Linked DNA regions of Kluyveromyces lactis. The protein of the gene in region 2 purifies or fractionates together with the protein of the main gene of each other region. This does not show direct contact. Links are inferred from orthologs where the notes say so. Each region holds a gene or a part of one and is shown on either strand. Other genes may lie near its edges.

The links.
Region 1: the proteins of BUD4 (region 2) and AXL1 purify together in Saccharomyces cerevisiae (affinity purification with western blotting; 3 studies listed by BioGRID). This does not show direct contact. The link is inferred for Kluyveromyces lactis from reciprocal best matches to the Saccharomyces cerevisiae genes BUD4 and AXL1.

What each region holds. Positions count from the first base shown.
Region 1 is NC_006040.1:1,317,718-1,322,068, reverse strand, and holds the start of AXL1 (Axl1p), read right to left. Parts: upstream 2,885-4,351; coding exon 1-2,884. Other genes in the region: KLLA0_D15576g (uncharacterized protein), read right to left, coding at 3,428-3,682. UniProt on the Saccharomyces cerevisiae protein: Probable protease. Involved in axial budding.
Region 2 is NC_006041.1:537,617-541,907, forward strand, and holds the start of BUD4 (Bud4p), read right to left. Parts: upstream 2,894-4,291; coding exon 1-2,893. UniProt on the Saccharomyces cerevisiae protein: Required for establishment of the axial budding pattern in haploid cells.

The DNA.
Region 1 (4,351 bases), on a different chromosome or scaffold from region 2:
ATTTTTCCAAGGAATTGGATTTAATCAACTGCATGTATTTTTGCAGAATATTATCTTGAAACTCAGCTTCTGTCATCGCACCTAGTACGTTGGTTTCAAGGTAGTATAGATATTCCTCAATTCTGTCTTCGATGGTATGTGGCGGTAGGTTGGACATTACCGAGATATGTATACCTAACGTGTCTGTTAAAAGCCTCAGTCCTCCAAGTACCACGTATCCGATCTGTTTCTTGTTTCGTAAATCTGGCACAAGTGTCATGGACATGAAGTATTCGAAAAGACTACTCATAGTGTAATCTACTGGGTTCGTTCTATCACCAGTCTCAATGAAATATACAACACTGTTTGTTGGATCCTCTTTGAAGCTGGTCATCTCGATGAAAAAATTGCTGCCTTGTGCCAGTTTAATTGTTTCGGGCTCTCTTAATCGGAACACCGAGGTTTGATTCACGTTTGGGCCAGACAAGTGATGAATTATACCATCCATATACTGATTCACCGTTTCAGCAATCGAGAGATCCCCCTGGATGACGAGGTTCATGTAATTAGACTTGGGGATCCATAGGTCCTTACAGAACATTTTGAAGGACTCAATGTCAATATCTTCTAACGCATCCAATCGTTCTTCCAACGTTGTTAACTCCTTCTCTAAAAGGATCAACACCCCTAATGATGCCAGCGTACATGAATTTGCTCTTGCTGCTTCCTCGTATTTAGTACGCACAAGGATTCTACTGTGTCTAAACATGCTGTTTGTAATGTCAAAATCAGGTTTGCCAATATCCACCATTTTATCCATGATTATTTGCAAGATCATGGCCACACCTTGTGGGAACCCATTTATTGTAACAGCTAATCGAACATCACCCCTATTGTTTGCAGCTATCTGATACATATATCCGACACGTTCAGAAGGGTATAAAGACTCGTTGATATAGAAATATAGTAGCTGCGTCAGAATTTCAAGATTCATGGTATTCTTGGCTGAGGGTTCCATACCCATATTGATGAGTTCTATAGTAATCACTGATCTCGAGCTATATTCTAATGAGTTTTCTTCCTTCACCCAGAGTTCGTAATTTTCGTTTTTGCTCATAAGTCGAGGTGTCGTTTGTAACAATTTAGATTGCGTTATGATAGAGAGTGCCGAGCCTTGAGATTTGCGAAGAACAGCCGTTAGAGACTGTTTCAATGCAGATAGATTCTTTTCTAGACCAAACAAAAAAGCAGTAGAGCTAGGGAGCCGGAAGTCCTTTGGCGACATCTTGACGTGATTCAATTTTATCAGGCTTAACTCATACTGAAATCTGTAATGCTCATCAAATTTAACGTTCGTTGGAACCTGCCTCGATTTAAGGAAATCATTTGATTGTAAGTCACCTAAAAAGATAAGCTTACAGTTATTCCAACTCATGTAGGTTTTTACAAATGATAGGAACTTCTTAGCTTGAGAGTTCCACCATTCTTTCGATTTTGGGCTCTCATAATAGCTACCGATATCGGAACCTTTTCGATTGCATGAGAAGGCAATACTGTTATTCAAAATAAACTGTGGGTCTTCACACTGCAGTAGTTCAGAGCACAAATCTGAACATTTATCCATAGTAGAATTATCCAGATCCTGGTACATAAATTGAAGCAAATTTATGGTATTCCATTCGTTCAAATATTGCGCTATCTCATCTGGATCTATTGATTGGAAAAAGGGCAAGAAACCCTGGAATAAATCGGTAAGTAAACTTTCTACCCCTGTCTTCCATCCACTATTAGTTAATTCAAATTGTAGCACCAATCCTTCATCGTCAATTGTAAACTTAGATAACTGTGTCACCTGTCTGGTTAATATGTTTCGAGCGCTAAACTTACTATGAATCGACCCTGAACTTTCGTCACCAAACAAATCAGACCAAACCTTGGAGAATATTTTCAGTTCAGATCTACTAAACAGGGCCTCTTGGTGAGATACTGGGAACACTAAGCGAAGTATAGGTGCTTTGGAGGACTGTATCAGTATTGAATTCGGAGTCTCTGGTTCTTGTTTACTGAACAACGGTTCTGTATATCTGGCCGCCCAGACTTTCTGCAATTTCTTGAAAGACTCAATGGAGAAAGACTGTGATTTGATAGTGGACTTGGTACGAAAGTCTCCAAAAGTAGTTTGAACCAGCTTCTTCAAATAATGCAAGGACTGTGATCCTCTAATGACTATACTGATGTTTTCTGCAACAAAATTATCCGCATAGTGTTTCTGCAGAACATTCTTTAGATTTATTATCTTACCAGCAACAATAGGAAACTGAGTCAGAGTGTAGATGTTTCCAGTGGAAAACCGACTGAACTTGGATCTTTGCGTTGCCAATTTTTTGGTACCATGATACAGAGCTTTCGAAACCAAATTCTTATTGTTCTCATGTTCATTATCTATGGCTTGGATCTCTTTGTTAATATCTGCACTTTGAAAAATTGGTGAACCCAGCTTGTCAGCAATGACACCAACCAATTCATCAAATATAGGTTTACCGGTTTTATTATTTGAATTTGGAATCTCGAAATAAAAACTCGTTTGTTCACCTGTAGTGAAAGCGTTCTGATTACCATTGTATTCAATCAATAAATCATGATAATGACTCCTTTTGGGGAATTTTTTAGACTCAGAACTTATAATCATGTGTTCGCAAAGATGAGCTAAACCTGGTACCTCATCAGGATCGTTATGGGAACCGGTTGCAACTGAAGCGCATAGCGATGCAAACGATTCACCGGGATCCGAAATCAATAATGCCGTGATTCCGTTACTTAATTGAACAAACTGGTGAGCTCTATTCGAGTTGGAAATCGGAGTATAAATGGGAACATCGATTGTTTGTACAGTAGCGGCTGTCATGTTGTGACTTTGATTTGATTACTTGCCGTATAACTGATCAGTGACACATTTTTCCGAAGTAACAAATGGTTCAGGAGTGTTATAATTATGTTACTCATATTTATACAAGGCAAAGCATCGGTTAGTAGTAATCTTGAGGCAACTACTCTGGGCAATGCTTGTTATGATAGTCTTTTTCTTCAGTATAGAGTTGAATCTCACTGTCAATACCAGAATAAGTAAGTATTTAGATGTCAGAAACAAGGAATTAAGACAAACAATAAGGAAAAAAAAAGTCTCCCGGGGGCGAGTCGAACGCCCGATCTCCAGATTACAAATTGCTTTGTGTTTTCAAATTACAGTCTGGCGCCTTAAACCAACTTGGCTACCGAGAGGAGTTACTTGAGTGACCTCGTAACTTCACCCATTATGTTCTTCTGGACAGTTTACCCCATACAGCATCAATCCCAAAGCTAATTCTCGATGCAGTAAGTAATTTGAATATCGATTATACGGTAAAATATTGGTAGTGTATACAAAATATTTGAAGTCTTTACATCCTCTCTAATTAATAGTATCGTCAATGGCCTTGTTTTCAGCCAAACCATTATTGGATTTCCCAGGTTGAATATTGTACTTGGCAGACATCACCGGGGACAAATCGTGTTTCCCGGAAGAAACTGCAACAAGAGCACCGTCTGCATCGACCATATGAGGCAAATCCTCGACCTTAGGAGCCTCATCGTATTTCTCACCTTCAACTGGACTCCCAGAAACGTATCTCTTAAATTTTTCCCACTTAGACTTGAACCCTTCCATATTCCTTGCGCTGCTTTTTATCTAGTTAATAGATAGTGTTCTTCCTAATAATCAGATGAATACAAAAGAAAATGATGTTATATCTTGGACAAAACCCCCCAAAAATCGGTTGTAACCTTACTTATATACCTACGGTAGGTTTCTCGTACTATATAATCTAACTATGGAACGGTGTACCTTTTGTCTCTTCGAGCCCTTTAATCTGATAAATCTCAATGGAGCCGTATGGCGATATCAGATTTTCATTATCTGTTCGTTCTAAGAAAGACCGACCGATAAGATAGAGGAATAGTAGCGAAAGACTGATAGAACTCGGCGAACGTCTGCCTTTTTTCCTTGGCTGTACTGGGCTGACTTTGTAAGCCGGTACGATATATGCCAGGCAAATCGCTCGAAGGAAGAGGAGTCAGCGATAATCGCTGTATGTCGCATACTAATGAGTCTCTCTCTCTCTCTCATCAGAAATAGAAAACGGGACTTTTTTCCCGTCTAAATCACGTGAAAATAAATTGACAGTTTCCATTTTGTCCGGAATACTTTGGTCACGTGATTGAGATCCGGACAACGCGAAGACGCGAAACAATTTTTTTTCAAATTTCGTTTTTGGCGTGCTGACGCGTCAGCACTTTGCGAAGATGCGAATCTACAAAGCGAAATTGGAAAGTCCTT
Region 2 (4,291 bases):
TATACTTTGTTTTGCCGAACGCAAATCGTTTCTTGATAGGAATCTTCTCTACAACCTCAGTTAGTTGATTTTGAGGGCTTGTGTATCGAATTTTCATAGTCATGAATAAAGTGACGTTATTTGATTCCATGTTTACTTCAAATTCCTGACTCATTTTAATAGGACCATCTTCCGGAATGGATTCCCACGGTGTTTCAATAACCTCTTTTCCATTATCAAACTCTATGCAATACTTTGCATTATGGCGTTTAATTTGTTGTAAACGAAGCGAATTGATACTCTTTAGTTTCAAGTATAGTTTGCCATGATCTTGAAGCTCCGAGGATTCAAATTCTTGAAGGGAGTTTTCTAGATAAACAGAAGCTAATGATGTCGTCGGAGCTCGCTGCAGTCCTTCATTTACTTCTGTAGTATCCCTTTCGTAGACTACGGGCGATTGAGGTGGTGTTTCAGATCGAGCTTTCACTTTGAAGGGTGATCCTACGTGCTTAATTGGCGATTTTTTTGTGGTCTCTACTGACAGATCCGATACTGATTTTTGAACATCGTATCCCTCAATTTCATTCCCGAGTAACACCTTAACATCTTGAATATGCGACCCCACTTGAACGACATCTTCGTTTTGATTGTGAAGAACTTCAGCAATCTGTTGCTGAGTTGCCTTAATATCTACATTACCAGAACTGACGTCTCGGAAATGACCCCAAGTAGTTTGAAGATTCTTCTTTGAGTTCAATCGAGATTCTTCTGCCAACTTCTCTTCAAAGTCGTCTTTATCAAAATTGTCTAAAAAGGACGAAAATACAGTTTCAGTTGATTGCGGCGGCAAAAGTGTCAAATTCTTATGGGATAAAATGTTTGTAGTGTCAACCGCCTTGTCACTTGTTCTCGAAATGTCCCCAGTAATAATTGATTCGTTGTGTATACTTGGTTCCGAACTTTCATCCAAAGCAAATTTATTAGCAAATGGATACATTTTAGCTTGTGTCTTGAGTTCTTGCTGGATACGCTTGGACATGATAGTATTTCTTCTTAGCGGATCCAACTTACTATCATCTTGTGTGCTGAGGACATACTCATCACTGAATTGTCTAAATGCTTCTTGCTTGAATACATGAGAATTCGAAATGATTCTCGATTTGAATTTAAATGAACTTCCGCTATGATTTGTCGGCACTGATGATGTACGTGATTGAGTACTAAATTGAGAATTGGTGCTCAATGCTGGAGATATAAAACTGCCCCCTGTTTTCTGTGAGTGCCAAATTGACAGATAATTCTCCTTGTGGGACGACGAAGTTAAATCAATTGACTCGTGCGAGGTCTCATGGTCATTGAATAAATCCTGGTCAAACATTGTCGAAAGTCCATTCATAGGAGGCAAAGGTGGTAGCTCGATTCGATCACTTTCTCTCGAGAAGCTACTGGTTATATCCCTTCTTCCTTCGTCTTGAAACTCAACTGACATTTCTACATGGTGCTCTGGTGCCTGTTGTGCCTGTGACACCTCTGATACGCCCAGCAACTGTCTATTCTGGCTATGTTGAGACATATTATCATTTGTAGGACTTCCACTTCTCTCCGGGTTAGAAATCAATTCTGCCTCCTCTTGTTCTATTTGTTCCATAGTATCATCCGCGATATTGACGTCTGAGTTGAACTTTGCTTTATCATGCTGTACCGTTTCCATAGAACTGGATGTCTTCATGGAAGTAGAGTCCAGTTGAAAAGTCGGAAAGCAAGGCAACTCATTCGGTTCCGGGATCTCTAAGTCCTTTACTGATGCGTCATCAGAGAGTTCTTCACATCCAACAGTTGAGGACAAATCATATTCTTTTGCCGACTGGTAGTTGTCATTTGTAGTTGCAACACTAAATATTCTTGAAGCGTTAACGCTTTGAACACTTGATGACTTATAATCCTGCAATGTTAAAGCAGGCAACTGAGGGAGTTGTGGAACTGCTTGGGCACCGCTGAGAAGATGATACCGGTCCTGAAATCTGTGCGTATTAAGTTCTTGTGCATCTTCTGTCGATGAGCCAGATGAAACCCTTGTTTCCCCGTTATTATTTACGAATCTGTTGATGCAGACGTTAGGAGTGACTGGGATCTTAGAATCAAGCAGGAGATTGGTTGCTTCTTTGGTGTCTGCTGCCGCACCATCAACATCATCTTCATCAGGAGTGTGAATTTCGACTTGAATCATGGTTGAAGATACTTCCTTCGAAGGAAAAAGTGGTTTAGTTGGCTCAATTGTGAACACCAATGGTTTATCCTTTTTTGGGTCATCTTCCATGGCTTTTTCATCGGCCATTGAGAGCATTCCTTTCAATGCAGGCAAATTTGGATTCTCAGCATATTTCTGATCTAGGAAATGAGATAATCTTTCACCTACATCGGTGACCATCTTATCCTTCAACTCTAGGCCAGTTATTTCTTCGGAAGTATAAGAAGGAATTCTGGTACTTGCATTAATATCTTCAACAGAAGTGTCTGATCCATCATTTGAGATTAATCTTTTTGAAACCACAGGTTTAGTCTGCTGATAGTTGTGTTTGATCCAAGCAGTCTCTAGAGGTGCTTTATCGAGTCCTTCTGCCATACTTATGACATCTTCTGTGTTTTCGACAGTATCGTGGTCCTCTGTGCAAGATGTTTCTTTAATTTCGGTAGTTGTATTTGCACTCTCGTCACCCAACTGGAGAGCCTCCTCCTCTGTATTTTCAATGACATTCTCACTGGCGTCAATTTTCTTTTCATTGTCCAAGGTATCCTCTTCTGGGAGTTGATCAATGCTGATATTGTCGGTGTGAGAAATCTCTTGGTCAATCTCCTTCAAAAGAGAATACATTGCATCAGGATTAAGTGCCTCGCCTTTGTCTTCCATTTGCATTGCCCAAGATGCTCAGGTATATTCGACTAAGGGACTTAAATTGACGACGAATAAAATGGAATATTACCACTTCAAAGATGTGATGAGAGTTAAGATCACTGATTTAATCGTTAAAACAATTCCCTTCAAAAAAAAAATGAGATCTAGTATAAACAAAGAAATGAAAGATGTAAACCCTACAAAATACAACAATATATTATAGTTGATGAACATATTCAATGGGCAAACAAGTAAACAATGGAAACCATTGTTGATGGGGTATGTTAAATTTCCCTGTCAATCACCTAGTGTTTGTTGACAATATCTGAATTAGGAAATACGTAAACATCAAATTAGAGGAAAAACCAAAAAAAACACAGAATTGGCAAAGGAAAACGAGATCATAATTACATAAGTATTCACGTGATTTCAAATTTTCAACTAGCAGTAATTCCGGGTAAGTAAATTCATTCTATTAATATTTTATTCTTTTCTCCAGCCACCGACCTCCGCCTCATATCCGAGGAAACTCACGTGCCGAGCTCTTACCCGGATAATCATAGTTCCTGACAATTAATTACTTTTCCATTCGCTGGCAGAGATAATCAAAGAAAGGGCGTGCAAAGACAAGTACCAAGGAAATATAAACCTTGAGCTTCAATCACCAAGCTTCTTCGCAGAGGCATACTTGCGTATTATTTTCACTGGCTCTAATTCTAAATACTCAGAGTGTGATTCGAATTGGATCATTTATTGTCCTGGTAAATCATCATTTTTTCTCTATATACGAGAAGAGCTGAAGATCACCATAATAGGGGCATAATGCGCGCTAAATTTGTGCTGCGTCGTTAATACTGAAAAGTTCCTGGGTTTTCAAACATATGTACTATATATAAAAAAAACAGTGTACTGTGGCCAGTACATTAGCAATATCCTAACTGACAGGATTTTCTAGCTTACTGCCTTGCTGTCATTCGGCGTTCTTCTATTTCCTTTATTTTATTCTGTTCGGCGTTTTCCAATAATCGAGAAAATTTCAAAATCCGATCCCCTTTTCATTCATCTTCCTTTTATTCTACCTGGCTATGGTAGTATATTTGTTCTAGTGTTTTTTCTAACTTTGTTAATATTTCATCATTGTCATACTATATTGAAATATAAAGAAGGCATTTTTAAATATTGAGAGCTGATTTGATTTGATTTGAACCAATTTAAACTTTAGAGAAGAATTGAGTTGTTTTGCTAAAAAAACCCAAACCAGTCACTCACCGAGTTAGTCAAAAGGGTATATTCACTGTGAGATTCTAGTGTAGTCGATTCAGAAGACAAAGATATACTTTTATCTAATAATTGGCTCTTACTTTCATTGACCCGACTCTAGTGTGTTTAGAAAACCGAGATATAAAACTTATCAATCAG